Linked DNA regions of Drosophila melanogaster. The gene in region 2 interacts genetically with the main gene of each other region. Each region holds a gene or a part of one and is shown on either strand. Other genes may lie near its edges.

Evidence for each region.
Region 1: of tup (region 2) and ush, changing one enhances a phenotype caused by changing the other (phenotypic enhancement), as found in Drosophila melanogaster (one study listed by BioGRID).

Annotation. Positions count from the first base shown.
Region 1 is NT_033779.5:474,230-490,092, forward strand, and holds the start of ush (u-shaped), read left to right. Parts: upstream 1-1,990; 5' UTR 1,991-2,102; intron 2,103-2,216; exon of another isoform or gene 2,217-2,757; coding exon of another isoform or gene 2,758-3,975; exon of another isoform or gene 3,976-5,177; coding exon of another isoform or gene 5,178-5,246; exon of another isoform or gene 5,247-5,459; intron 5,460-15,287; 5' UTR 15,288-15,863. Other genes in the region: MED15 (mediator complex subunit 15), read left to right, coding at 1-536, 807-949, 1,004-1,573; cbt (cabut), read right to left, coding at 2,758-3,975, 5,178-5,246. UniProt on the Drosophila melanogaster protein: Transcription regulator that modulates expression mediated by transcription factors of the GATA family such as pnr and srp. Represses transcription of proneural achaete-scute complex (AS-C), which is usually activated by pnr.
Region 2 is NT_033779.5:18,871,015-18,886,581, forward strand, and holds the start of tup (tailup), read right to left. Parts: upstream 10,248-15,567; 5' UTR 9,782-10,247; coding exon 9,643-9,781; intron 1-9,642.

The DNA.
Region 1 (15,863 bases), about 18 Mb from region 2:
AGGAATGAACCCCATGGGCGGTATGGGCGTGAACATGCCACCGAATTTGCAGCAAAAACCAAATATGCCCATGGGCCAGGCGGGTCAGATGTTTCCCGGTAATCGAGGAGGTGTGGGAGTGGGTGGACAGCAGCCGGGACAGCCCTTCATGCGATCCAGTCCCTCTCCAGCAGATGCTCAGCAATTACAGCAACAGGCGCAGCTTCAGCAAATGCAACAACAGCAGCAACAGCTGGTGGTGGGCAATCAGACGCCAACACAGCAACCTCCGACTCCGCAGATGCCCACGCCCAATATGATTCCTAGTCCGGCACTGGTTCCCCAGTCCAGTCCGCAGATGATGCAGATGCAGAATTCGCAGCGCAATATTCGGCAGCAGTCTCCAAGTGCCTCGATCAACACTCCTGGCCAGGTTACTGGTAACAGTCCATTTAATCCCCAGGAGGAGGCATTATACCGCGAGAAATACAAGCAGCTGACCAAGTACATTGAGCCACTGAAGCGGATGCTTGCCAAGATCAGTAACGACGGAACCAGTAAGTAGATAATACCCTCACGTTTCGTTTTTTTCGCAGCTATTGCATTTTTAAATCGTTTGCTGATTACTGAAATGCTGTAAATGCTATAAACCGCGTCAAATAATATAATTTAAGAATTATATAATCGTTTTTGCGAGGCCAAATGCAAGGACTAACTAACCAAAAACAAAAGTTTAATGCAAACTTACTCGGGTTTATATATTTCCTAGTAGTTATATTCTCGAAGTATATGTTATCGTAAAACTAATATTATATCTTCTTTAATAGATGTGGAGAAGATGACAAAGATGAGCAAGTTGTTGGAGATTCTCTGCAATCCTACACAGCGCGTGCCGCTGGAGACTCTACTTAAGTGTGAAAAAGCGCTTGAGAAGATGGATCTCATCTCCTATTCCGGCCAGCAGTTTGGTGTAAGTATATCTACATCCAACGGGCCAATTTATTATATTCTTCGTTATACCTAGAAATCCTCAAATCCATTGCTGGAGGTTATAAATACAACGCTGCAAAGTCCTGTAGCAAATCACACATTGTATCGCACATTCCGACCCACTTTGGAGCTGCTCTTTGGTACGGATATAACAGCTCCAGTGCCCGCAAAGCGACCTCGGGTGGAAGAAAAGTCCACGTCTTTTGAGCAGGAAGTGCCACATGTGCTTCAAGGGGAAATTGCTAGGCTCGATACCAAGTTTAAAGTGAAATTGGACACCACGTCACAGATCAACAACAAGGCCATTCGCTTGATTTGTTGCCTGGATGACAAAAGGTTGCCTAGTGTTCCGCCCGTAAGTGTGAGTGTGCCGGAGGAATATCCGTGGCAGGCTCCGGACTGCTCCTTGGCGGAACAGGAGTATTCAGCCACCCCCTTCCTGCAGACGGTGCAACAAGCTCTCATTGCCCGCATCTCGAAGTTGCCCAAGAACTACTCGCTCTCACATTTGTTGGACACCTGGGAGATGGCCGTGCGACAGGCGTGTTCCCCGCAATCGAAACCCAGAGCAGTCTGTGAACTTTCCACTTTGCTGGGAGTTTAGCCCAACTATTTGGTTAAATTCAACTATAACATTAAATCTTAAGCTAAAAGTGCGTACGCTGCAAAAAAATTACTATTTATTTTAAAATCTTTCTAATTTCTGTTTTGTTCTAGATATATTTTTATATTTGTTGGAAGTTTTACCTAACTATCCGGCCTAATCAACTATAAACATTTTTTCTATTTACGCTGGGCAAAAAGTGTGGAAAGTTTAGTAAGTTTATATCTTGTTTAATTTTAAATCAATGGATATTGAAAATTTTAATTTCATTTTAGATTCCCAAAATGCCCCTCTGTTTTGGGTAAATACATTTTAACATATAAGACAAATGGCTTTTATAGCTAAAATAAAATAAAACCAATTATTTCAAAGAATATTGAGCTGCACCGCATTGAAACATCCTTCTATATACACAACACACTCATCCACTCATCAAGCAAAAAACATTCCACACTCAAGACTTAGTTCAATACCAAAATGGGGCTACATACTTTGCAAATTGTTTCAGTCGGATGAGATTTTTAAAAAGGTAAGCATAAACAATTTGGAATAGGGCTTGTCATTCTAAAAAAAAATTAAGTCACCGCAATAGACTTCTGCCCAATTACGCTTCCCTCCCAATTCATAGAATAACTTTAGTTTTCTTTGGAAAATATGTATATTTTCATTTGTTGAGATTGGAATCGTGCGATGATCCATTATTCTATTTGTTTTCATTTTCTTTTTTTCACATTTAGCAATAAATACAATTGTGTGTGTTTTAGCTTAAGAGAATTACACTGACAACTATGGTACAATAGAAAAGAGTTAAGAAAACTTAAATATCACAGATGTTGGACGCCGAATGCGTCTCTTTATAGTATGTACAAACACTAGGGATATTCAGAATATTAATCTGAAGAAGATCGCTTAGATAAGAAGTGTGCTGTGTGCTCCTGGAAAGAAGTGGCATCTATCCGATTTGGGTATTACGTATTGAATTTGAAGTTGATATATGCACAAAACGGTGACAAGATCTAGCTCCTAACTAAGCTTAAGTCTACACCAGCTACATGAGAGCGAGAAGGCATTTCGAATTTGACTCAGATGTTAATTTGTTTTGAAATTTGGTGGGAATTCATCTCTGTTTAGCTGGCGATACTGTGGGGCTGAGATTGGTTCTGATGCTGCTCGCATTGCTCTTCTCATCGCTGCACTTGAAGCAGGGTTCCGCCGAAGGTGAAACTGCTGGCCTGCTGCTGTAGCCTCAGCAGATCTTGGGCGCTGTAGACTTGCAAGCTGGCGGAACTGATGGGCGAGGAACTAGCGCTGGAGCCCGCCGGTGCTATCGCTCGCAAATGGAGCGAGGCATCGCAGAGGGAAGCCGCTACCGAAGCTGATGTGTTGTTGTTGGCCAGGGAGACATGTCGATTCACTCCGTTCGCCTTGTCCTTGTTGTGCCGTTTGACGTGCTTCGACAGGTGATCGCTTCTCATGAATTTCTTCTGGCAGACGCTGCACTGGAATTTCTTTTCACCGGTGTGGGTCCGTTTGTGTCGGGACAACTCATCGGAACGGGAGAATCGTTTGTCACAGTTCTCCCACTTGCAGATAAAGGGTCGCTCGCCGGTGTGAACCCTCTGGTGGGCCTTCAGATGACTGCTTTTGAAGTAATTCTTGCCGCAATCGGGAAAACTGCACTCGTAGATGCGACTTCTGGTGGCCGCCGCCTGGGCGGCCGTAATTCTGGTTGTTAGTTTCTCCTCGGACATTGTTGGCGTTTTGGGTACGGGTGTGGGGCTCTGTTGGGCGGCCACTGTGCTGAGCAGGATAAGTTGGCTGGCAGACGAAGCTACTGGGCTAACATATATCGGTGTCAGAATAGGTTTTATTTCCTCCTCCTTGATGCATTCCGCTGGAGCAGGTGGCGTTACAAGCTTCGCAACTGGTGTCTCGGGTGTTTGTACTGGGGGTAGTGCCACTTCTGCAGCACGCTTTCTGTTCATTTTGAACTTGAGATTGCGCCACACATTGGCCTCTGGATAGTCGTCCTCCACAGTGGGTGGTACTGAACTTGTACTTGTGTTTGTGTTGGAAGAGGAACTACAGCAGGAGGTGGAACTAGATGAGTTCTCGTCTTGGCTACTAGAAGAGACAGCGCCAGAACTGTTGACCCGCATGATGACGCTAACCCTTTCCGCTTTCTGATCATCGTCCAGCTTTTGATCCGGCGGCGGTGTCATGCTCATAGCAGGTTGTTCCAAACGGGGTTTCTTGTTGGGAACCGCTATTTCGGGAGCCTCGTCTTCCGTGTCCGATGGATTTGGTGTAATAATCCCTCCATTTTTCTGACTCTTTTGGGCCACCAGCTTGAGCTTTGCCTTTAGCAGATTCTCGTTCACCTGTTGTTCGTCCTTGGCGACCTGGAAAAGGAAAGAACAAGTTCAGGGTTAGTCAGAGTTCGTTAACATTGTCGAGTTTATGTTCTGAGGAGTGCATTCACATTCACAGTCCCATTCACTTTTCGCTGACCAGCATTGACCCACAATAACTTTTCCTCGCAATTCGCTAATTACGCCGGCGGCTGACAAGGCCGTTCACCGTTAACCTTCACACACCCTGCAATACCCCGCCCAACCCCAGGTTCAATGCTCCTTCGAAAGGCCAAGGGAACTTTGTTTTTGGCGGTTTTTGAACTCTTTTAAAGGCCGTTTGGGGTGACAGAATATTACTCATTAACTGTTGCTGCCAGCTGTGCTTTAAATTATAGACGTATGTAAATGTTAAAGGTGAATACTGTATTGATGACCACATAAAAGTCTTTAAATTGATGTGCTCCTGACAGAAACAAAAAATGTCTTAAAATTTTAAAAACTGTTCTTAATATGGACTTTTCAAATTTCACTACTTAATTTTTAAGGATGAAAACATGAGCAACTGTTGCGTTTTCGGCGCATATTCTAGAACCATTTAAAAATTGCGCCTAAAAGCATGCAAGGAAAATGCAGCCACACCACCAGTATTATTATGACGTGCCTCAGGTGGGTGATTTCATGGGGAAGGCGAATGCGAGGGGTGTATTATGACTCGTGCGAAGACGTCGAAATCTTTTTATGGGCTCGGCACGTTGCGCTCTAATGTGCGACAGTGTTTGTTTGTTTCTTTCTTGGCCAGATAAAAAACGAGCCAGAAATGTGACATGGTTTTATGGGTTGGGGCTTGGCCTGTTTGCCTAGCTTTTGGCTAGGCCCTCTCTTTCCTCTCACACTCCACCGCTCGCCTACAGTTGCCAATTGGCAACTCACCTTCTCTCTTTTGCTTTTCTGTTGTTTTTTCCTAGTGGTGCCAAGTCCAATGTTCAGCTGCGGCCTCTCGCTCGCACTCACACATCACTCGCTGTGCATGCGGTGTTCACGTGAAAGCGTGTTGGCTGCGTGATCGCATGGCTGTGTGCGAGTGCGAGCGGGACGAGGCACTTTGTTTTTAGAAACGCGGCAAGTGGGAGCGAGAGCGAGCTAAGTACGATTCCGTTTGATTTTCCGCTGCCTTGAATGCACTATCCCCACTCAATAAGCACTAATTACACTAGCGTACACTGTATATATCCACTTTGTAGGTCACTTACGATTTCCAACTTGTTTTCCCTTAGTGGGGGCGTTGCGGGTGGTGAAGGTAGCAAGGTATCCATGTCCATTGCACTTTCAAATTTCAGTTGCACTCTCTTTTTTTTATTGAAGAGTCTGTGTTTGTTTGTTTGTTTTGTTCCGGGGCTAATCACTTGGTTTAATCTCAGTTTGTGTAGATTTTTGCACTTCAGCTAACTTTGCACTGGCGCTTTCAAGTGCCGCTTGCCGTTTTGGAGCGAAGGCGAACCGTTGCGTTCGGAATTCAAGAGACGAATGAAAAAGGCAAAGCCATTCAGCTCCCAGCAGAGCTGCCGCCGCCGACGCCGCTGCCGGCAGAGGCTGTGCAAGTGTGAGTGAGTGGAGCCGCCGACGACGTAATCACTTGGAAACGGGCAAGTGTGTGTGAGCGGGCCATCGTCATCGGCAGTGGAGCAACCAGTGCAATGTAACCCGGACGAACATCAGCCAGCAACGTGGGCAGCACCTCCTCGGCTCCTCTCTCTCGGGCGCAAAAAAGAAAAAGGTCAGGTCTCCTGCTCACTCACCTCTCAGCAACCCACGTGCACCGGACAAAATAGCCCGTAAAGAATGACATCTCTGTTAACTCAATTTTAGACTGTAATGTTGGTTGGCAATAAGTTAAAAGAGATTCAGGTGAACCCAAATCGTTTTTAGTAAACTCTCTAAAAGTGTATGGCTATTTTAAATGTTGCCATCTTTTCCGAGAAGACCCAAAAAATCACCGAAGCGATTTCTTTCTGTGCAGGACACAGACACACAGCCAGTAGGAGAGAGGCCCGCAGAGCACGTAATCAACGCATGGACGTCATCAGCTGTTCACTGCGGGGTCTTGTGTTTGGTGCTATAGAGAACGGGTCAGTAGAGGAGGAGCTGGGGAGGGTGTGGGGCTCCATCGGCTGTCTATTCATGGGCTGTGCATGCCCCAGCCGCGTGCACAGCGCACACCAACCGACACACTCACAGACACACCCCAAAGCCGTGTCTGAGTAGCTGACGTAGTTGTTGCCACGGAAGTCTGTGAATAATCGGCTGAAAAAATACTTTAAAACTGGCTCGAAACCTGGCAGACGCCCCTCAAGCTGAAATCTAAGACCTGGCCGCATATATTTGCATTAACTTTGGAAGTCTGACTTTAAGCAGACACGGATTTCATTAATAAACGAAAGGCATAGTGCGAAAGCAGGAGAGTATGGGAGCTCAACAGTTGACGGGGAGCATTGCCAGGCCCAAGAAACTGGGAGATAACAAAGATGAGTCACGAAAAGCAGGCATTTCAAAATCCTCTTATTCACCACCAGTGAATGCATGTAACTCAATTAAGTCGTCAATTGATTACATTTATTTTGTTTGAAAACCCTCCTAGGACACGGGTAAATTCTACCTGGCAATGCTCGCGTTTCGCCTGTAACAGTTTTCAAAGCAAAAAGGGGCTCGTACACAGAGCACACACACCAAAGAGCGAGCGGCAGAAACAGCTGTGGTTATTGGCGCTCTCTTGCGCAACAACAACGAATAACTAGCACGCCATACCCCACACCAGACTTGTGGGGCGACTGTTCAGGCCGTGTAGGGTATTCAGGGGTAGCATGGGAGCAGCTAGATTAGATGCAGATCTCTGAAAAGTTTAAGTTTTATTTTTCTTCACATTCCCTAAAAAGAAATTTTATATTTGTCGTTACTAAATTAATGTCATTCCATCCGTCTCCTACTGCTTTATCGCCGCTTTTAGAGGGTATGCCCAAGTGGACCCCTCGAAAATAACCTTCTTGACGGCTGAACAGCTCGCCTGCGTGTTTTATGGTGTGCGTGAGTGTCTGTGTGGGTCCGTCTGGTATCACGCGTTGACCTCATGATGTTCACGTGAACATTTGTTGATACTTTGCCTGAGCGGACGAGTGAGTGAGTGCGAGTGAGACGAGGCGAAAATGCCAGCAGTCTGTGGCGTGCCTATCTGTGCGCTTGTGTGCGTGTGGGGGTTTGCAGTACTTGCGTTTTTGTTTTTGTCTTTGCTTCGTGTTTGTGATTGGAATCGGAATTCGTGTGTAAATTTTGCGCGGAACTTGAAGCGATGGCCTCCACTCTCTCGCGAATGTGGGCGTGTAAATGGGCCGATATACCGTTACCGCACCCCTCTCCATTGCGCCCCACCCCCCGCATTTTGAATGCAAACTGCGGCGCAGTTGAAGCTCCCCACCGGCCAGCTCCTCCAGTCCTCGCAAATCCATCAAGCGGGAATTCATGTGCATTGCGGAGGCTGAACACAATCAGCAGCCGCAGGTTAGATCTAAAAATAGACGTATATCTCGGCTCCCCGGCGGGTTCAAGTTCAGTTCCCTTGACTTGCATTCGCCCACGGAGCTCCCACGCCCACCCACTCAATCTGGGATGGCGAAATCTGGACTCGCAGAACTCACGTGTGCCCACGCACATTTTCGGAAACGCACGTAGGCCGCTGACTACTGGAAAAAACTGAGTGTCAGTGCTATAGAATTGCACAATAGAATTGCTGTATTACATATATTTTTTTAGTTTGTTAATTCATTGCTTATTCCTCACTAACAATACTGAAAACTAAAAATAACTCTTTGATTTAGATTTCAAAACTTGTTCCTACAACACAAAAGCAAGCAAAATACCTTTTTTTCGGTGTGTCAAAGGCCGACTTAGAAATACAATATATATATGTATATGTATGTTATATGTACATATAACTCATCGTTTTTCGCAGAGCGAGTTTGCGCATTGACGTAACTCTCTTCTGGCATCTGGCATTACGTAGCAGACTCGTTGGCTCGGTGACGTCACACCCACGCTGGCTCCTTGCTCCTGTTGCGCGTCAAAGGTCACAGCATAATAAGCGTGACGTTGGCGTGAGCTTCTGCCGGGTTCAAGGCCTCCTACGCTCCTTTTTTCTTATTAACGAGGAGAGGAATCGCATGCAGAATAAAGCCTAAGGCGCAAGCAGACAACTTTCCGTCGGTGGAGTTGGTCGAAATGTCAATCACAGGTGGACCCTGACGTCAGAGGGCCTCGAAAAAGAACGCTGCTTATTGATATTATTCATATATCCATTTAATCATGTACTCAACGAGTGGCACACAGTCTGACCAAAAGTCATAAGGAACTGGTCTATAATTCGGCACGGCAACAACGTCAAACGCGTCAAATGCGACGCCCATTTTCCTAGTTTCCCTCGATTCCCATTCACAAACATTTCCCACACAGTTTCTGTTTGTTGGCCTCTGCTTGCACGCGGGCGTGGACGACGCTACAACGTCGTCCGAAAAAAGCGCCAAGATCGTCAAAACTCTCCATGACGTCATGAGCCCAACTCGTGACTCCAAGTGCAGACTTCGTTAGTTTCTTGGTTTCATATTGCTTACCAGCCTTTGTCAGAAGTCAAAAGAATCAGAAATTTCCATTTAGCACGCATGTAAACATGTTTACAAACAAGAAGATTTTCCCCAATTGAACAGATTATGGGGGTTCTTCGAATTGGTGCAACTAGTTCGATGGAAAGATACTAATCAATGGAATCGGAATTTCCCCTTGTATTGTAATTGTCAAGTCTACAATATTTAAAGAAAGTATCTTGTAAATTTGTTTATGAACTATCTCATATTTCACCATGACGCGCAACCTTCTTATTGGTCTATATGGCGGTCACATATGCCAAATATCAAAATATTTATCTTTGTTATAAAGACTCACATGACTAACTCGAATCTAATGAGTGATTCCCGATCTCTTTTTCCACTATTGCTCAGCAAAAGAAACCAAATTATTTAATTAGAAGTGCAATATGTTTTTGAAGGTTTAATTTAATCTGTGATAAGGATGTCTGACTTTGAAATATATGTATAAAAACTGCCCTTATAGAAGATTTTCTATAACTAGCCCCCATTCTTCCGGCCCTTGCCACCCACTTATCACGAATCTTAATCCCCCCTACAAAATGATGCACTTGCTCTCCCTAAGTCGATTTTTCTCCCTGCCTACGTGCCCACCGACGCGTTGCTCCAAAGTTGGAAGCTAAGTCGGAACAGAATGGAACGGAACGCGGAGAACCGGCGTCTACGAATCTTCGGAGCAAGGCTAAGTGGGGTCTACTATGAGCACAATGCTAAGAGAGCAAGGGAAGGGGCATAGACGACCTTCAGTCGGGATTGCGGTCTTACCAATGGAAATTTACGATGCTGCGAAGGTTCGCCCTGGTCAATGTTTAATGCGTTTTCTCTGGCTGCCCCTTTTCTCCCTCGCACCTCTCGCATTTATTCTCATACGATTTCCCGTTCTGGCTGCCGGTAAAAATCGACCTTGGCCCAGTTCCTATAGCTGCCAAATGTTTGTATGAACTTGAAAGTTGTTGTCCCTGGAATGCAAAACGAAATTGGATGTGAATGGCAGAACATAGCATCGTAGGGATATAGACGTCCCTGAACCGGTTCAGGTGAACGCCTTAATGGCAACGAGGCTCATCTCATCATCAGTCAGTCGTGCGCTTGAAATAAACAACATCGTCAATAAGTAGGAAAAATAGTATAGTATATGGGACAAACAAAAGCAAGTATGAGTATTCCGTTTTTCGACTCAGGGATACCCGGTTTATAGAACCTCCGTGTTGCAAGAATTCTTTATTCAACTTTACCTTACATGGATAATAGGATTACTCAATTATTCGGCAGATATATACGTCACGTTCGTTTTGCTACGCTAAATGTTAGCATATTTCAAATCTTTACCTTTGACCTTAAAAAACTTTACAAGATTGTCGCTAAGTAATCGTAGCTACTTTTTAAGTATTTTGCTAGTTGCCTTTAAGTATCTGTGTTTCTAAGCGATACAGATCGAGATGTCCTCTCATAGACACACTTCACACCCATCTCATCTCACTCACGATAAACAGGTGTCTATATCGACAAACACTCGTACGAGCGCAATATCCCCTTGCTCCCCACGAGTACCGCGTATGAATATATGGCACAAACATAAATAAATCTAGAATAAGTGCGCTTGAGGGCGCGGGCGGGGAGGCCGCTGATAGACCCGTTTTTTGTATGCCGCCGCCGACGTAGATTCCAATTCCAATTCCGATGTTGACGAGGTCGCTGGGGCGTCTGATTGGGGCCACGTGAAGTCAACGTGAACAGCCCGCGAAGAATAATAATAATTGCGTTATTCATAAAACGCCGGAATGGACGGAATGGGCGGACATCTCCCCCGGACAGCAGTCGTCCATTTTTGGATCAACCCTACATCGGAGGTTGGGTTCGGGCTCGGTTCGAACTGATAAGGCCGCGCGACTGATAAGCAAGATTCCCAGCTGGCCAGCGCATGGGCAGTCTTTATGTCCGCCTCCATTTCCCTCCGTCCACTTGTCCGTTAGTCTGTCCGTCGGTTAGACTCGTCCGTTAGTCAGTCACAACATGACCAAGAGGCGTGTCTCTTATCAGCGCAGGGGGGTTCTTATCAATTTCCGAGGAGTAGAGCGGTTGGTACTCGCTTCCCATGCGGCGTCAATGGGGGTTTATCAATATGGCAGGGGCTGGACTGAACTCTCGGGGATGGGAACGCGATGGGGGATCGTAAATGCAGGTGATTCGGTTCGTCATCTGCATGGCTGATCTTGAACTAGATTTCTGAATGAAACAAATTAATTTTAGCGACCTGGATTGGGGTTATCTGGGTGGGATTTCATTAAGCTTAATTATTACTTCCGGTAAAGGGAAGACGGCTTAAGGCTAATTCTCTGGCATTAAAAAATGTGTTATATTTTATGCAGCCAACTTATTATACGATGGATAAGTAGCTGTACTTTTCATAGGTACAGTTGCAAAAAGAGCATCATCTGCCAGCGTTATCGAATCAAAAGCTGAAACAAAAGCACAATCAATCTCAAATCCACCGAATTACGCAACCAGGTGTGTTCATCTCATTACATTTCATGTATACATCTCACACCACTTCCGATTTTGTTTATCAAACTCATTTGCCATTCGTCGGCAACGTGACCATTGAAATCGGAATCGGAATCGGGCATGGATCGAGTGTGAATCGGTTGCGAATCGGTTGGCGTGTTTATCTAAACCCGTGCCGTGACGTAGCAGACCTTGTTTATGGGGCGTTGGTTGCTCCACGCTTGTTTTCCTTTTGCGTTTCGCGCACTGGAAAGTGGGCGGGAAGGAGCATGGGGAGTTGATAGGCGACGAACCCGCGATTAATGGATTGCCCTTGACGGGTCGGGTCCGTAAACCCTTTCGCAATGACTGTAGAAGGAGGCTCGCTGCTCGCGGCAGACAAACAATGGAAATTGCCCAAGTGCTCTCAGTGCCTCAATGCGACTGTCTCTTTCGTCGTCGAAGCTTTCTTCCTCTTTCATTTCTGCAATTTATTACTGCGGTGTACTGGTTGGTTCTGTTGATTTTGCTGCCTTATTGACATTGTTGTGTTTGTTGGCTTAAGTGGGCGCGTTTGTGGCTGTGAATGGTGGCTGGCCGGCGAAGGGGGAGCGACTTCTCAGTCTGCCCGCTTATCTCTGGCGATTGCAGACAGACACAGACACGCATTGATTGTATGGCATGGCCCTTATGTATGTTACTCTTCCACTGGGAGAAGAGGAAGTCAAAATGATAGCTTAATGGTGAAAATCAGTTGGGCATAGAAATTACAAGGTATTTATAGTGTTTACCCCAAGAGTTGTTTAGTGCGTGGAGTTATTTTTCTCAAAATAATACATCCACTGTGTTGTTGTGAACTGGAATTTTCCCGAATTTACAGATTGCCTGATCCCATACTCAAGAATTTTCCCCCCCAACGATGAATAGTCATGAAGGAGAGGCGTGCACAGCGCTTTGGGTATTTAGCACATTTTCTATTGCCCTGCCCTGCTTCTGCTGTTATTTTTTTCGATTTTTTTTTTGGCTAATCGAAGCACGAGCGCAAAAAGTGTATTTTGTTGCTGCTCTGTGCTTGCCCACATTTCATGTATTTTTAGCAAGCCGACGCATTTCAAATAATCAAAAGCAAGGCGCTCGAAATCGAAGCTGTGGCTGTGGAGAAAGAAGAAGTGGCACCGCAGCACCTGAGGACCAAAGAAATAATTAACATATTTTTGCAAATTAGCAATCGTGTGGCCGGGGCCATAAATCGAAGCTGCGAGGGATCGTGTGATCGCATCGAAATCGAAACACTCGCTGTACCATTACTCGATTTTAATATTCTGCCGGGGCTTTTGCACTTTGCAAGGACAACGACGGAAGTGAACATCAAAACATGAGCGAGTCGCAGCTACAAATTGCATTTAAGGTCAGCGAGCAAATTCACGATGCGTTGAACCAAGCCCAGTCAGAAAAAATAAAATAAAATCGAGCATTGCTCATGATGAGAGCTGTGCTGGAGTGCAAAGTAGGCAGGCCGGTCACCCTCGCCACAATAAGGCCAACATCGAGTTAACAAATTAATAATTTGGTCATATTGAAGGGAATAAGTTTTAGAGATCCTCATAAAGCGGGAGCGGCATTGAAAATCAGATGCTCAGCTGATAGTTGATCATGGATGATCAACTACTTAAACTCAGGTTGGGCGGGTTTGACCTTTGGAATGACTTTACCCGTGTCACTAGTTTTCTCTCCCTCTCTCTCTCCCGCTCTCTCTCTCTCTCTCTCTCTCTCTCTCCCTCTTTATGGTTCAACTAGCATAGTATAGTGGTAGTTCCGATCGTCAATCGGTGCTAAAAGTATGTACATGCGTGAGGCGAATGATCGATGTGCAGAAGGTGAAGGTGACTCCAAAGGTGACCCTGAATAAGTGAAGGAGGCGCAAGGTTCGCCAAAATCCGACTTACGAGTCCCACTTGTGGGTGAAGTACCGAAATACCACTGTAATCGGCAGAGTAATCGGCGGCATGAGCAATTTGAGCCCGAGCACATCACACATAGGTATGTATTTCATCATCTTCCTCCTCTGTCTGGTCAAGCAACTTCGGTTCGAATTGCTATAAATAGAAATGGCCAATTCGTGTCCGACTTGAGATAAGCGCCCCTGTGAGGACGAAGTCATCATCCGGGAAAGTGGATCAGGGAAAACACTCGTCCATGTGGAACGGTCATCTGGTCCAAGCTTGCGAATGCCCAATACTGAGGTCAATATGTGCTCTGATCGTGTGCATATGTTGCTGGGAATTATTTGTTGCAATTTAATTTATTGCATTTTGTTGTATTAATATAATGCCTGACTTGATTAGTTTAGTGCTTATTAATACCCACCTATATTTAAACGCATCCATGGTCATTTGAAATGGCGGATTATATTCGACATTACGTATACGCAGTATGGGACGAACCTACCGCAATGGCAGCCCCCAATTAGCAGCGACTATTTGGCGGGAGGGAGAGCCACCGAGAGTGCGAGAGAGAGAGTGGGATTTCTATTGCAATCGGTGCTACTATAAATACCCATCGTACCCCCAAATATCCAAGGAAAGGGGGCGGGTCAGCGCATTGGACTTTGATCGAATGCAGTGCATTTTGTGATTTTGTGGGCGTCGTCGACGGCTGTCTGTATAACGGCAAATGACCAAAACAAAGAAGCTTTTTAACAAAAATAAGTGAATAATTTTATCTCCGCTTGGGAAACATTTTGTTTGGTTTTTTAGCTCGCTTATGCGACGGACTTGCCAAATTTCATCAGCTGTTTTAATTTATGCAAGGAGCCCAGCAGCGCTGATCTTGGGCCTGGCAGTGGATGGGATCAGCATCAGAAAAAGTGAGAAGAGAAGTAAGTGGGCCGAAAAGAGAGATTCGATCGACGAAAGAGAGTGGAAGAGAACAGCAAGGCTAATGGAGAACGCCCTGCACATGAAAAAAAAGTATTCATTCTTTGAAGCAAGCTAAAATAACAAGAAAAAAGTTCTAAGAACAAATTTATTTGCAAAACGTGAGGTTTATCCCATCGTAATGTTCTTGACGAAGTCAAACTAAAGCGGTTGACCTTGGAGAATTTAAATAATTTCAAAATACATTTACCATTATGGGTTTAACAGCAGCAAGTGATTAGATTGCAAACAGTTACTCTATTGGCGATTGAACCTCAGTGAACCAAAGTCCAACCATTTCGAAGATTTGAAAATATTAAATCGCCAACTTTACTTTTCACTATTTGCTGGCTCAGTGTATTGACCCCCATTTCCCATGTCGTCCATAAATTAGTGCGCTCAGGGTAAGGTCGCCTCGTCCAGGGTTGGAACGTGTCGTTTCCGATCGGATGCCGGCGAATCATCGGATCATTGCACTCGGCGTGAACACGCAAGGTAACTGCACCTTGGGTCAATGATATTAGCTCCCCCGTCAAAAATTTCGGCAGATATTCGGTTAACTTTTTGTTTTGTTTTATTATTTCGCGGCTGTCATTTTCATTTCCATTTTAGTCACGGGCATGGCCTTGCCGCCAGAAGTTGCTTGACCTGGAAGTTGCTCACCTTACCTCGTATAGGCCCCTGCTCCCAATCTCGGAACATCCTCATCAGGCCTCCAGGCGAGTGTATTGCACTATGATTGCAGGGAAGGCTGACTCGGTTACGGATAACGAAGCGGTATTTTTGAGGGTTTTGTACTGGCACTGAAATACATTCGGTGAAACACTACGACAAATTGGGCATATACGCAGCTGATTGATTTGGCATCGATGTTACGGACAAAGAAGCAGCTCGCTCATTATAGTATAGGCATGACTTCAAGCTAAAACTGCTGGGATTCCCCCGAATATTAGTTATGGTTGCTTGTCATTTTTTCCGACGCCCCTCTAACAAGATCTTCGTTTTCAATTGAAATGAAGGCTATTATTTTGAATAGCGCCGAATTTAGAAAGTATTTCGCAACATATTCATTTGGTATGAAGACGCATACGGACACATTCGATATTTCTGGCACATTTTTAAGAATTCGAATGTGCTTACATATGAAAATTGAGCTCTGGAATCCACTGTCATATCCTTGAGCTTAGTATATCAACGGAGTACTATCAACCTCGATCATTATTGATGTTGCAAACGCATACTTGCACTTACTTTTGTTGCTTCCATTTATTTATAGGTTTTTTGGGTGACTGCCGAATTGCATTGAGAACAGACCAAAAGCGATCAGGGATAGCCTAAAAAGCCAACGACAAAGTGTAATGAACGTTCCGAAGGTCAACGGTGCGTATACTTCATTAGCGATTAGCGAAGGGCGGCGATGAAAAAATGGGTAAGAAACGGAGCGAAAGGAGACCGCAAATGACCCAAGGTAGAGGGCGGGGAAGGTGGAAACCTCGTGGAGTTCCCGTGGCTAATCGACTCGGCCATATGTTAGCGCGGATTACGGGTCGCTAACTGGTTTATGATATTTATTGCCATGCATCCCCATTTGCATGCCCTGCCCTTAGACCAACGCCCCCACCCCTTTCAACTGCGGAATTGTCCCGCAGGAAGCTTTTCATTTCCGCTGCTGTCCGAATTTTTAAAATCTATGAGTGTCCAATGCAAAGCAGGAGGAATTTCCATTAAAATCATGCAATAGGTGCAAATTACAAGACAAAAAGGTGAGCGAACAGAGGGAAACAAAATGAAGAAATTATGCAAAAAAGAAACGGAAGTGCAGCTAAATAAAATGCTGACCATGGTTCTTCAC
Region 2 (15,567 bases):
TCTTAATAGATGTGCACTTGTGTTTGAGTTGAGAAAGAGGTATGCATATCATACCTTAGATAAATATATTGTTTTTGATGATTTATCTCATTAATATTCTATAACCAACTAAGCTGCACTTTCGTGTCACGCTGCCATCTCGAATGCTGGCATGTGTAACCCAGCAAGCGCAGCCAATAACTGATCAATGCAAACTGACTCTTCTGCTCAAATATGCATATAAAAAAGAATCAACAATGGGGGAACAAGGGGCTCTGAAAAAACACACATCCAAAAGAAGCCGCCGCCAGGCAATCACTTTGAAGTGTTTGATTTTCGAATTGGCCGTCGCAGTTAACTGAATACGTCTGTTGTGGGCTCTTCTTGTTGTTGCTGCGGCTGCTGCTGCTGCTGCTGCTGCTGCTGCGGCGGATACTGATGCTGCTGCTATTGGCGATGGCGATGGCTATGGTGTTGGCTGTCGTTTTATTGAAGCCAAATTTGAATACTCGACCGGGGAGATGCCATCGGCCGGCTGCTGAAGGCGCGACATCAAAGAGTGCCTGGACTCAAAATGGACATGGGCCTGCAACAATTTATGCCACATCCCCACTCCGGCGAGCGGGACGGCGCGATGTTGCTGCTGCGGTGACCGTCGATGTTGCTGTTGCTGCTGCTGCTGTGTGCTTGTTGCATGTTGCAAGCTGGCTGAGTGAAGAACGGAAATGACCTTTTTTGTGTGTCGGCGGCTGAAAACAAAATGCCGATGTGCCCGAGAATCAAGGCTTGAATCTTCGTTCTCTTCAGAGAGCACTCAAAAAAACAAGTATGCATATGCAGCAAACATTGGATTTATATGTGTGCATCGTTCTTCAAAAATAATATCAAACATTAAAGAGGAAAGCTGATTTGCTTGAATAGATTGAAAACAGGCAATTGAGAAATTATATTTGAAAGCTAGTTATAAAATGAAGTGAAGTTTTTAAATATATTATGAATCCTTTCAAGGCAGCCTTTCTTTTTTCTCCAGATATATGAGTTACTTAGACAAATTTAATTCATCCGTAATTGTTAATTGTTTTTTTTCCGAGTGCATTTCTCGGTTTTCCCCATCTCCCTGCCCCTCAGTGCCGCATGTCGCCGACAGATGACAAGAACCGATAGTGTCTTTTTTTTTCATTCGAGCCCGACTGCAGCCAGAATCGCAGCGTCTGGGGCTTCTCTTTGGCTCTGTTTGGGCCCGGTTAAGTGATGATCATGATGGGTTATTAGGCAGGTTGCGTTGACAACGCATTTGTCTTGCGATGGGGACGCCGACGCAGGATTCTCGGCCAGAGCGATAAGCGGGCGACATTTATTTATGGTGTTTTAACACAAGGCGCCCCTCGCACAACAAAGTAAAGTGAAAAATAAAATAAAATCAAAGGTTGAAAACAACCGCACCTCAGTCACTGGCACTGGAGAAAGCCAAGTCGAGCCGTCATTTCAAAGTGTCAAATTAATGTCAGTAATGAACAAAAATCTACTCAAAAATCTGACTTTGATTCGACTGCAATTAAAGTGAGCCGCACACAAAGAAAAATTATCGGTAAAAAGGCAAACAAACCAGGGGGGTGGGGGTGGTGGAACTCCGTTTCCCAATGCAGTTTAGCCTTTTTGGGACAAAACGGGTTTGTGGTAACAAATTGTTTAATGCATTTGATTGTTGCTTTTTCCCAGTGACCATTTTAGTTTTTTTTTTTACCCAGCTGCGTTTTGCATGTTTTGCGCATAATTTTATTTGCATTTTTTCCACATTCCCATTCCGATTTGCATATCCATATTTTGCCATTTTAATTTGTCTAATTTTTTATGGCTTTCGGTTTATCATAAATTGCTTTCGGCTTTTGGCTAATTAGAATGTGTGCAATTTGACCACATTTTTGCATTGCTGTCGCTGTTGTTGGCCCACTCTTGTTGTGCTGCCTTTGCTTGTTGTCTCTTCTCGGCTGTTTTGTGTAAATATTTGACCTGATGCGTGTGAACTTTAACAGTTCTTATGCTTTATTTGTCGCAAATATTGCGCAAACACGACAACACCAAAGGGTGCACCTCTGCCCCTCACGCCGCAACTCCACCACCTCCCTTCTTATAAGCCGAACTCCTTGGCCGGACATTCTGGCCTTGTTTGCCTTCTGGCCAGGTTGTGTGTTCATTCTTTTTTTTTTTTTTTTTTGGTTGTTACTGCGACTGCGTGCCCCTTTTGCACTTGAACATTGTCGCTGGCTGTAGTTGTTCTTGTACTTGTTGGAGGTGTTGTTCTGGCATTTGTACCTGATTCAGATCCAACTATTTTTTTTATGGCATTCAACATAAATAAAGCCGCAGTTTTGCACTATTTTCAGCTTGTGGAAAGTCTAGTGAGGCATTGCCTTATACAAATTAAAACGGCAGACGCACTATGATTATATTGGCTTAAAAGTATATAAATGCGTTGAAGATATTTCAGGAAAATACCTAATCCTTTTGGCACCCTACTACCATGCCATGCCCTTTTTGAAAATTCCTGCTCCAATCTCCCGCATTTGAGGTGTGGCCAAGTCAGGATCGGAATCAAAGCCACCTTGGCAGCATGCGCGCCTAGGTGGATGCAGCAACTCCAACTCCGTTATAAAAACTTAAGACCTCATTAAAAGACACCGCCTGCTTTATGGCACTCGAAGACCGAGTTGCCCATTTAACGCGTTGCCGGCAAGACACCCCCCCCCCTCCCTGATTATCGCCACCAAATGGCTGGGGTCCTGTTGCCATAGAGTATTTAAAACCCCGGCCGATTACGCACACGCAACTCCACACCAATAAGAAGAAAAAAATGAGATGAAAATAAGAGGTAAATATCGAAGACCGCCGACCGCCAAAGGCTTTGGGCCCGTGTTCATGCAAATTTTTAACTTCATTTCGGCTTCGTTTTGTTAATTAATTTATATTATTTTATTTGGGTGTCGTATACGCAGACACACACACACACACACAGCCTGCATCTCTCGACTGAGTTCACAGTTTCTCAGTTTCTGTCTCTGTGTTCCAGTTGGAGGAGAGTCTCGAACGACAAATTTATATTTAATGAGCTTCATAAAATTTGAATTTCAAAGGATCCTTGCACCGCAGCGGCATGTTTCGATACCACAGATCAGAGAACGACAGACCCAAAGAGCCGAAGAGCTCTGCGATCAACTCGGACTGCAATCAACGCGATGGCAGGCTGTGGATGTGGCGGCTTGGGGGGATTCCGAGTCCGATTCGGATACGAGTACGATTCTGGATGTGAATCTGAATCCGATTCCGATTCCTGCCGATCTGGCTGCGTTCCAATAAATTGCTCTGTTTTATGGCAATTTAAGTAGGCTGCTTTATGGCCCTCCAACCCGTCGCTCTTCCCTCTCACATTCCCCGACTATCCCGCCTAGTTGCGAATCGGGTTCGGATTCTCGCTTCTCGGATCTCAGATCTCGATCTCCATCTCCATCTTCACCTCCATCGGGTAAACCGCATGATTCACTTGCTGATCTGTGTGGTCGGCCGGGGAAGATGTATTACGTGGTCTACCCACTTTTAGGCGGCGACAAAACGCTCGCCGCCAACTTCCTCATAAATTAAAGAAAAATACAAATTCGAAAAAAGGCGGGCAGTCGCTGGAAGATCTGCAAACTCCTCAACTTGTTTGGTCGGTTTTCAGCTCGCCTTGTAGGCAACAATTCAATTTGACATAATGAGCTACATTTTGTTTACAACGGCAAACGCATGGCTGCCAGTTGTTTCTCTTTGTAGTGGGAGGAATTAAGATATGAATTTCATAGGTCCATGTACAATGGCTTGAAGGTTAGCTATGCTGATTCGAAGACGAATCACTTAACTGTCATTGGATCTTAGTAATCCCTGGAAAGCGAATTCGTCTAAAGAAAATGTATCTTATTCAACTTTAGTGGTTTTAGGCAGCTAGAATGCTTCCCACTCGCGAAACAACTTTTGGTGTGATCCAATTTGGGGAGCATTATGACTTCCTATGATTCGTGGCAGACCGAGAAATCAACGGTGTTTTGGACATAAACCAGAGGCAGCAACTTGTTTGGCCTGTTTCCCAGCCACATCCCCTCCTCTGCCCGCAGGTGAATGCCTCTCTTTCCGTCTGGCCGTGTGGCAACATTTCAATTTGACATAATGAGCCGCAAGCCCGGGTTGCAGGTAGAGATGTTTGAGCTGGCTTAGTGGTTGCGACCATTACCATCCGTCGGGATATGCTATCCCGTCAAAATATTGTCAGGTAACTAACGGCAATTGCGGCTACCGACTGGCGACGTGTCTGCCCAAAGTCGCGATCCCTAATATCCATATGTATATATGGTATATATATATAATAACCGAACCGAACGAGTCGCTGAATGAGTCGCCCCGTGGCGCGACAATCGAAATTGGTCTCGCCTTTCGAGACCGGGGTTTTGGGTTCAGTTCATCAGTCTGGTCCTCGGCGGGCGGTCCAACCTGTTGAACACTCCACTTGACATTGAGTGGAGTGGTTCTAAGCGGGCCAACAAGATGGATCTGGTGCACCCCTGAGTGTAATGGGATATGGCCACTGTTGCACTTCAATTCGATCTCGATTTTTTGGTCGGATTGTGCAATCTGCTCAAGTGGCGTCTGGCCTGTGTGATTGGATTCTCCCTCTTGGATTCCAGCTGACGCCAGCGGCAAGTATTTGAAGTCCTCATCCTCACTTTATGGATCTCGCATAAAAGTTTGTTTTTCTAGGCAGCCCGTGGTTGTATCTGTTTTTTTAGGGGTCCTACCTAGGCTCTTTTATTGTCTTTCATGCTTAATTAGTCATTAAAACAAGGGTTATAAAAGTGACACTCATAAAGCCAGCGACTAGAGTGGGTATGGGCCAGAATAAAGCTTTAAAAACGACGCCATTAAAGTGGCCACCGCATGGCATGCAACACGCCAAAATGCCACACGGGAGCTTGGGTATATCCCGGTTGCACCTGAACGGGGCATACATATATGTGGGCTTGCATGTGTACTGGTATTACGTATGTATGTATGTATTTGGCCAGGTGTCATATGGCGCTGCGGGTGCTCCATCGAAAATCCCAGCGGGAAATGCAAAACGCTCGCCACTCTTAATGAGCGCCTGGAGAGAGGCACGAGTTTCCCCCATTTTCCCTTTCGCCTTTCCCTCGATTTCCCGCGCCCTGGAGCTCTGGGGCTCCTCCTGTTTTCCAAGTCCTCACGCGATAAACGGGCGTGGCCGTCAGTTGTTCCCTTATTTTGTGGCCTGGTTAACTCCCGACTAATTTCTGGCCTGCACATTTATCAGTTCTCCGCTTCTCTGGTTTCTCCCTCATGGCTTCTCGCGGCGATTTCCCCAGCTGAAATTTAATATTTTTCTACAGCCGAGCAAACAGTAGCCGCCTCTCACCTTGACAAGCTGCTGACACCTTGAATGAACTTTTCAAAAATGCGAGAGGGAAAAAGGCACGGAGAATTAAAAAAAAAATTTAATTGCACTTTAATAGTCAGGCGGCTGCTTTAATATGCCCAATTCCAGCAGGCGAGGGCTTTAAGAATATCTTGAATTGCATTAATTAGGTTAGAGAGCTTCGACGGAATCACTGGGCTTTAAAAACATTTTAGCTCGAAAATAACATGGAATATGGAATATTTAGCCTTTTTTCGAGTCAGTACTTTAATCAGGTCGAGGCTGTGCAATCACATCGATACTTAAAGTTAGCAGCATCCACTTGACTTAAAGTGCTCGTAAAACTTAAAGTTTAAGGCTTTGCTTTTTGAGGGCAAACTAAATAAATGGTGTTGAATGTAAAGTAATATTCTACAGTTTTACTTAATATATAATGTGTACTTTGAATTGTAATTGCCATTCCTGCAGTGATGCAATTTTCAAGCACCCACTATTTCTGCCCATCTTCATGATCATCTAAGCCTCTTTCTAAGCTAATCAGTTAATCAGACAACTGTTTTTATGTGGCGAACGGAAATTCCAGGCATAATTCCCTAATTTCTCGACCCAGCGAGCTGTTAATTAATGCAAAGCAGCCAAGACTCTGAGGTGAATTGAGAGAATACCTGGACGCAGGAGGCTGAGAGTTGTTTTGATGGCTGCCAACTGTCTTCTAGACCTGATTTTTTTTTTGGCACATCGGGCACAGATTTCAAATGATGTCAGGGAATATCGAGGGCGAGGGGGAACTGGACTGGTGACACTGGGCGCAGGCGCACTGCTGTCTTGGGTCCGAATCTCAGGTATGGGCCAAGCCAAAACTCCGGCCAACATAACATATTGATCTAGTGCCGGGTACCGAAGTGCAAAATCAGATAAGCTTTGGGATTTACGTTTCTGTCTGCGCTGCCTTTTTGGGCCTTTGGGTTCAGGTCGGGAATTTATGGATTGCGCCTAAATAACTTTATCACACCCCAAGCAGCAGCAGCAGGGATTCCGAAATAAAAATCACACCGGAAACGGGAAGGCAAGCAAAAAATGTCAGCCAGGGACAACAGGAATTTGGATAGGAACTCGTAAAATATAGATAACGTCTGTCTGCCTTTTTCGAACTAATGGGTGTGGCTCCCTCCTGACGTCACCACTGTCGTATTGTTTTTGTGTTGTTATGCACTTAAAGTTAGGCCAAAAAATGATATGAAAGAATAACAAACCTAGCGCTATGACTATTCAAGCAAATATTCAATCAATTTCCAACCTTAACCCAGTGAATCTTCCAATACGAAACTATCAAAAACAACAAAAAACTCCAAACGAAATCGATCGAAGCATGTTTAGAATGGTAATATAGTTAATTTTATGGCACTCTAAATCGAATCGCGTTGCGTATACGAAACATCTTTTCCTTTCACTGACGTTTCAGCAGCTCTATAAATAACCAAGAGATCTGAGATCGGTGATCTATGGCTAAATAACCAGCCTCATCTGAAAACTCGGTTCCATTCTCTTTCGTTCGCAGACGACTTAACCTTATATGGCCGACGATTGACACTTTACAAATTATTCGAAAAATTATTTCAACTTTTTGTGCATTGGCTAAACATTTGCCCAATCCATTTTTCACAATTAACTTTCGAAAGGTTTTGTGTTTATTCATCGAAAATGCCAATTAGCATTCGGTGAATTTGCTGGCGAGAAATTTAAATGGAATTAATATGAATTAGATTAGGGAACATGTGTACGACGAGTAAGGGGAAAATCCGTGCCACCCCCGCTTCGCATTTTATTCAAATTTTTGGCTAATTGGTTAACTATAAAAATAAAAATCGCTTGGCTTTTATGGCCGCAAATAATTGTCAATTTTTGATGGTCTTCAACATAAAGTGGTACAATTTTATGGCAGCCGCCAACATGAAAAACCGAAACTAGTTCAACGCCCTGATGTATGCAGCGATCTCGGACTTACATAATTTTCTATAGAGCACGGAGAGTAAACAAAGGCTCTTCAGATACTTCAGATGGCGATTTCTTTTTGTTTTTACTATATTTAATTAATTTAACGACTACTTGAGAAGTTGCCAACGACATGTTGACTGGAGGCCTGGGTCTGTGACATGGAAAACTCATTAAAATGTTTACAGCGCTCAAAAATCAACAAACAAACAAAACTCGCCTCGGAACCAAGCGAACTAACAAAAGAGAGTGGAGCTGGCTGATACTAGAGGGGGGGGGGACGAAACGAAAACTACAAAAATTGTTTTCATTTCAAATATCAACTTGAAGCTGGAAAACTCTAACTTAAAGTTTTGTCAGCCGCCAACTAACTCACAGAGCAACTAAGCAGAGCGATGGGGAGGAAACTTTGTGAAAAGTTTTCAAATTAAAATGTTCGGACATTAAATATTTACCAGCGCTCCATGGCCGACAACTAATTTGAATTTAAATTACAATTACTAAAATTCAATGCAATTTAAATGATTCGCAGCTACAACTGCATGTGCTGCATTATTCCAGCCTCATATATAATTCAATTTCCCCGAACCCATTGTATGTAGTATATGTGCTTATGATTATGATTTTTCATGTTTTCCTTTTTTTTTCGGAATTTTTGTTTGGCTTTTTTGTGTTCTGCGGTCGTTCGTTTGGTTAGACAACTGTCAGCCAAAACATTTGTCACAATTTAGCATACGAAATAAAATTTGAATAAAATATATTCCTCTTTCTGTCACACACGGATGGCATTTTTTAATGACACTCTTGGTTTATGAATTCATAAAATGCATTTTGGTTAACAAACTTTAGGCTAGTTAAAAATTTGTCACATTATCGCATGAGATACATTTGTGATACATTTCCAGCTCTTTTCAGCTTTTTTCATGCAATTGCTTGCCCGCTTTGCTTGCGCGCTTAATTGCTCAGCATTAAAATGTCATTCAACCGTTAATTGGCTTCTATATAATATGTAAAGTGTGCTTAAAATAAAATACGGCTATAATTTAACAGTTATTGCCGTACTGAAACAACAAGTGACAGGTCGAGATAGGGTCTAAGCCCATTACAAAAGCTGCAGCGACAAGTCGGCTAACGACTGTGGCCCGAAAGAAATCCCGAACCTAAAGATAGAACCTCAGAAAGTCGTTCAATATACAAAAAAAAAGATCCTCCAATTTGACAAAAGAATGGCACAATAAAAATTATTTATGGATTCGTATTTTCTTGGTATCACTTTAATTTGTTTGTAATTACTTTAGCGCAGCCTTGCTCACATCACATCCATTGGCAAAATTAAAAACTCAAGGTATGAAAGAGTTCAACGCGTGCCTGAACTTTTTAATGATTTTGGTATAAAAATAACTTCGACCTTCGTTACAAATAAACTTGACTAACAGTTCATGGTTTTAAAGCTCGGAACCTTTGAGTCCGAGCCTTGATCTCTGATATCTGGAATTTAAAATGGTGGGCATTAAAATGTTTCAAAAATAAGCAAGACAAGTTTACAACTGTGATTTGGGTGCGAGCATTTGTTAACACGGCTTTTTACTTATTTTATTGGCTTTTAATGTCCAAAGCGGGCTTTCCTCGTTCATTTTCCATATTTACGAATCGAGAAAGTTACCCATCAGTGGCTCTTGTTTAATGACTATTTAATTTGCCAATTTTTGTTTGGGGACTAGGACAATAGCCATAAATAAGTCATTAACTGCTTTAAATAGCTTTATTAGCGGCAAATGATTCGACACTGATGCGTGATCTATGTAATGATGTTTCAATTGCAGGTATACAATTTCTGAATAGGTTGATTTAAAATGCAATTTAATCTTGGTTTACAGTGGATCAACAAAGCGCTTTTTTAGACTAAACCCCTATTAGCCTCTAAGTTATTTGTCAGGACATTTATTTAAATCCAAATTTTAAATCTAAGGGAACTAAGGAAAAAAACTGTAATGCCTTCTTAAACAGACCGAAAGTACTTAGAACCAACAAATGTATCTAGAAGATACAATAGCCTCATATCCAAACTGTGGAAGGGCATTCCATTGTTCTTTTTTTAAGACTGTCCCTAGGTAAGTGATCGTGCTATCTCCAGTATTAAATATCGTCCTTTTCAAGGATGCAGCCCAAATAGCCCGAAATCGGAAAGCCAGCAGCCCTTGAATATCGGTACTCACTTATCACATCGTGTCCATGGCAATCCAAATCCAGGTGATGGTTCATCACCAGCGATGGCTGTAATCCAGTTTGATTGTGGTTGTGATTGTGCAACGGTAGCTGGTGAGCCAAATGGCCACCAATCTCTGCCATTACCATATATTTGGCTGACAGGACACTCGGCGAAGCACACTCGAGATATTTGTGGGCTGGGAATCTTGAGAGCGGGCGCCTTTTCGTTTTGGGCCGTACTCAAGAAGTTTCCGGCATTGAGCAGGGATATTTGTGTAAGGCACTTGTACTGGTTTACTTATTCCGTGAAGTTTGCTTGAATTACTCAATATGAGACCGGGACACAGAGCACTGGGTTTTCGGCGAATTTAGCGGGATTATCACGGCTGTGTGATCCGTGTGCGCACACGCGTTTTGTTCGCAGGGATTTGGATCTATGGTGAGGGATTTAAGAGTCTCTCGCATCCGAAAAGGCAAATCCGACGGCTATCGAGCTAAGACGGTCGATGTTCGCGATACGACGGCTATATAGTAGCGATGACGACAACCGACCAACGACGATGTCTGGCGCACAAACATGCTCACTGCACGGAGACTGCTGAACGACTAAACCGGTCGGCGCTTCGTTCCGTTTGCCGTACGTTATCCGCACGCCAGGGAGCCAGCGAGCTAGCGAGCCAGCCAGCCACTCACCCCGAAATGTATCTCGCAGATACATTCTGCCTGCGAGAGCAGTGCGACTAGCTCGTCGCTCCGCAAGGGTAGGGAACTGGTGTGGCACTGGTGCAGCTGCAACCGGTTCCGAGCCAGTTCTGCGTGTACTTCTCGGATAGCCGATAGCGGATAGCCGACTCGATGGACTGACGGCCTGCAGGGGGGGGGGAGTTCGAAACAGGAACAGGTGTTTTTGTCGCACTCGCTCTGCGGGCAGCGCTCTCACGCTCCGTCCTTTTCTGGCAGCAAGCCCATCTCTTTCGCTTCCACTTGGTGGGCCTTTTCTAAATGGCGGCGAAGCGGGCCAATCGGTTGGACGGAGTGCGCATGACCGACTCCAGCTGTGGCTGCGGGATCCACAATCCACAAATGGAGGCAGTCAGGAGGTGGGCCCACATCCTCGCTCCCTTCGCTGGCCTTTTGTTTTGCCAATTTCGCTTTTGGTTTTCGAAGTTTGTACTACAAAATGGTTGCACTTGTAAGCAAGCGCACCCCCCTGGCCAACCCTACCCCACTCTTCATCCGTCGTCTGTCTTTCTACCCCCGAACTGTTGTAATGCGCTTGTCGAACTTTTCGGCTGTAGCCCCTCCGCTTTTGGGGCTCCCCTTTTCGCCCCTTTCCGCCCCCCTTGTCTCACCTGCCCGTCTTGACTTGGCTCTGCGGTCTGAAGGCGTCTCGTTTCGGGTGTGCTGCAACATCATAATAATTATTGATCTTTTGATTTCGTCTTCTGGTCTTTTGGGGAGCGCTCCAATCTCCACCCCCTCCCCCCCTGTTGCTCTGTTGCTCCTTCAAGGCCCTGTTGCAATTTTAATGACGCCCCCGTACGGCAATTTATATATGTGTTCGAGTGGGTGGCGGTCGGTGTCTGTGTTGCGGTTAGCAGTTCGTTGACTTGGCACCCAGTTGCCAACATTTGCTGGCCGATGATTTGTTGTAATGTCAGTTACCAGTTACCATCACCGACTCTTGGGGTGCACTCGAAGAAAAGCTTGTTTAAGCAATTTTGAAGAATGCTTATCTGTAGGCCAGGAAGAAGTTTAAGATGAGTTGTGGTGGTAAATTATTTTACTTAAATGTGCACATTTCTAAATTATATAGAATATGTGATAGAGATACAATCTAGTTTTATAATATTTTAAGTTTAACATCATAAACATATTGTGTTACTGTACAATTTAGTTAGATTTCCTTATTATTTTTTCGAGTGTCTGTAGCCTCTGACTACTTTTTTGCCATTTTTATTTGACGTAGGGTATTTTGAAGGAGTGGCCCTGCTGCGAACAGGGCTGCTTGTGGGTCTGGTAGAGTTTGAGCTGGTTTGGGGGGTGGTGGCGCTGCTGCTGTGTTGTATAATCAAGGTCATCGAGCTACAGTTTCAGTGGCCCGCTTGCTCCGTTTGGGGCACTCATTCATAGCCGTGTCTCAGTTAGCCAGACGCCGACATTAGTACATACTTGTTACAGCGAGCCACCCCCTTGCTACCATCCAACACCATCCTCTGCCACCCCCAACAGTACCCCAACCACCCCCGAATTGCGAGGCTTTCGCGCCATCTCCTTCGCACTCGAACGACAGCTGGCCAGCAGAAAACAGCTGACTGATGTCTGTGTGTTCGCCTGCGAGGGTGTGTGTGCCGGCGTATCTGTGTGCGGGGCAACTAGGCAGCTGGATGAGTGTGCGTTTGCTGGCAACATGAATTCAAAATTTAATTAGGTCCCGTCCATTAATTGGGTTAATTGAAATGCCGGTAAAAGTCAACGCTTACGAATTAGGACATGTCACTCAAGCCACTGCGCATCGATATGGTCGGAACAACGTTTAACTTGTTGGTTGAAATAGTTTTGTTTCGATTCGTTTAATTGAAATTGAGCAGACATGCTATATTAGCCATTGTTTAATGCATTTTTCTGCTTAAGCCCACGGCTGATCTTAGCCATTGGACAACTTACTGTCCTGGACCTAATTGCTAAGCTACCGAGCTTAACTTGGCTTTAATTGTTGGCGGCAGCTAATAAGGAAGATTGCATAGAGTTGTTTCTGTTTGATGCTTCACTAATGCTTCAGGAGGTAATTATATGTAATTATACTCTTATATGCAAAATATTAAATTATTCTAGTAGGATAGTATAAGCATTTATATTATCGAACTTATGGTATAACTTGACTATTTATTTCAAATAGTCATTTGTAATTAACATAAGTAAAGATATAGATTTCAAGGTTTTCCAGTACATTTCCCAAAGAGTTATGGTTATTGATTTCAATCTTCTAGAAAATAAATATATTGATTGAAATGAAGGTGAGTGGCATTCTTGTAATAAATATATACAAAATCGCAACCTTGGGCGCAAATAATATTTATTGCAGTTCTACGTTTATGCAAATGATTACGTTGTGTTCCTAGAATTTTGCCCTTTCATGGATCCTAATTAAATAAGTTTAAACCGTTCTTAAGTTTCACTTTCGCTTATTCCGATATTTTTCGCCATCATCTGCCCGGTCAACTTATTCCATTTCGTTTATTTCCAGACCGCAAAGCAAATGCAAATATATGCCCAAATGCGATCCAAACGACGGTTTAGGCAATTTTCAATCCTCGAAAAACATTTGGCAAAAAGAAGTGGGCAAAAATTTATGCAAACAGGGGCAGGAAAACTAGGAAAAACACCTACACAAACAGAGGTGTGGAGGTCCTTCGTCCTTTCGCTCCGACTTGTGGCTCATTTAATTTTCGCACTTTTGGCGGATCCGGGGCAGATGTAAAATGGAATTCCGAATAAACGTTGCCATGTGTAGTTGCGGTCGGATTACACGGTTGTCGAGGGGGGGCGGTGGGGGCTGATAGGGGGTGGCATCTCAGCCGGGCTAAAATCTAATTTCCAATGTCTGCCAACTGCATGGAACCCCACATTCCTTCTAATTTCAAAGGGCTCTACTGGAGTTTCAGTTTTGCATGACGTAGCAGATTATTTATTGTGTGAGGTTGTTGCTTAAGTATTTATGCAGCCTGCCCTGTGTGCTTGAGTGCACTGTGAGAAATGTATGCCTATTAATTGCTAATTTATTGTTCAATAATAATTAATAATGAAAATGTTTTAAATTTAATAGAAATCATACTGAATGTGACATTTATAAATGTATTTATACTGATTCTTTATATTATTTTCAAAATTTTAAAATATGTTCAAATATTTTCGTTATTAGTTGAATATTCATTTCCATTAGGGACACATAACATTCGTAACTTGTTTCGCTTTCCCACAGATATATTTAACATACAAGAGGGTATAATTTCTTTCAGTGCCCAGGTGTGTGATGGTGCTTGTGTCTGGCCTGGTTTGTGTATCCGCCGAACACCCAACTTTCCCTCGCCGCCGCCCCCTCGATTTTCGCATGAGCAACAGAACACAACAGGAGAGAAAACAGGAAAACAGAAGAGAAAAGCGGTGAGGAGCGGGACCGGAGCGGTGAGGAACGGGAGCGGAGCGGTGCGGAGCGCACAACAAAGTCCAGGAGTTGACTTTTATAGAGTCGCATGCACAATAAAGAAGTCTATTATCCTTTTTGCCAGCCAGTTTTGTTTTTGTTGTCGTTGCTGTTGCTGCCGCTGCGACGACGACTGCAGGATCGATATCCATTAGGAAAATTAAAATTGTGGCAGAGGCAATGAACGTAAAAAGCGGAAGCGGCCAACCCGGCCAGCCAGCCAGCCAGTCAGTCAGTGCCACAGTCATTCAGTCAGTTAGTCATTCAGTCATTCAGCCAGCTAGGCCAACGTTGGAAAAAAAGGCAACTCAAAGGTCGTCACTATGTGGAGGAGAGTTCCTTGGGTCCAACCATCTTTAGTTTGCTTCGGTTTACTTGGGGTTTTGTATGGGAAACGCTGGGTCCTCACGTTGCCCTTATTGTCAACGTCTTTGTGGCGGAGTCCACTTCCGTTTCCGCATTTTCAACTGCTCTTTCATACAAGCAACAAATGTGCCATCTTCAAGGGAATTGAAAAAACGTGAACACTCTTCAAAAATATTATATCATAGCTAGCTGGCCTAGCATATGCTATTTCTTTCCAAGCGCAGAAGTCAATGAATTATAAATTACCTTTGAACAAGATTCTAACACCATTTATATTCTTTCCGAATCGGACTTAAATTAAGGGTATTTAATAGTCCAATTTCCCGCTCAACCTTTTTATCTTTCATATTTCGTTACCCATTGTTGATTTTGAATTAAGTTTCCAGGCCCACACACTATTTCATTGGGTGTTGTTGTAGGCGTCGTTTTGTTGCTCTTGCCATTTTCCGCCTGCCATTTTTGCAGCTGTCATTTGTTTTTCCTCGCTCCGAATTTTGGTCTTTGTTTTTCTTTATTTTTTTTTTCGCCAACGCGTGCGCGACATTTTCATTGTTAACGCTTTGTTGTTTTAGTTAGTGGCAATGCGGCTGTTGCCGTTGTTGTTATTGTTTTTGTTGCTCGTGCTGCAGCAGCAGCAGCAGCAGCAGCCACAGGAAAACTCATCTGTCATTCAAAGTCACAGAGCGTGCAATTTTCTGTTATCATGACTTTTTCAATTCCAATTTTTGGCTGCATCCGGACGGCAGGCAGCCATCTATCCATCTATCTATCTATCGCCCGACTCCCTTCGAAATTCCACACAATCGTTGCACATGTTTGCATTTCAATTTGATTGGAAAATATATTTCATTCGGTTTTCTCTGTGCGTCAGAACTGGAATATGCACAGCCCGGCCACCAGGAACATCCAGACAACGGGCCAACCACCCAACCACCCAACCACCCAACCACCCAAAATAACCCAACATCGAACAACGCAGTCAACTGTCAGTCAAGCGCGGCCTGTCGAGCTTTTGGCCTGCAGTTCGTTAAATGTTTAAGCAGAGGCTTTAGTTTTGGGCGGTCGGCTTCGGGCCATCGAATTTGTTGGTTGCCCGATTTTCCTGGCATTCGAGCATTGAATTTTAGACAACCAACTCCCTGCTCCTACTCCCTTCAAACAGAAAATCCGCCCATCGAATGGCAGTAAGTTGCCTTGCCAAGCAGCTTGTTGATTTTTATTACGCGCCCAGGCGGCACACATCTGGGAATTTAAGCAGTTTAGTACAGTACGGTACATATTATAAGGCTAATAGCTTAGCTTTGCACATAACTTGGGCATTAAAGATATCAAATAGGTAAGCAGTAGCTGAACTTATGCTGCA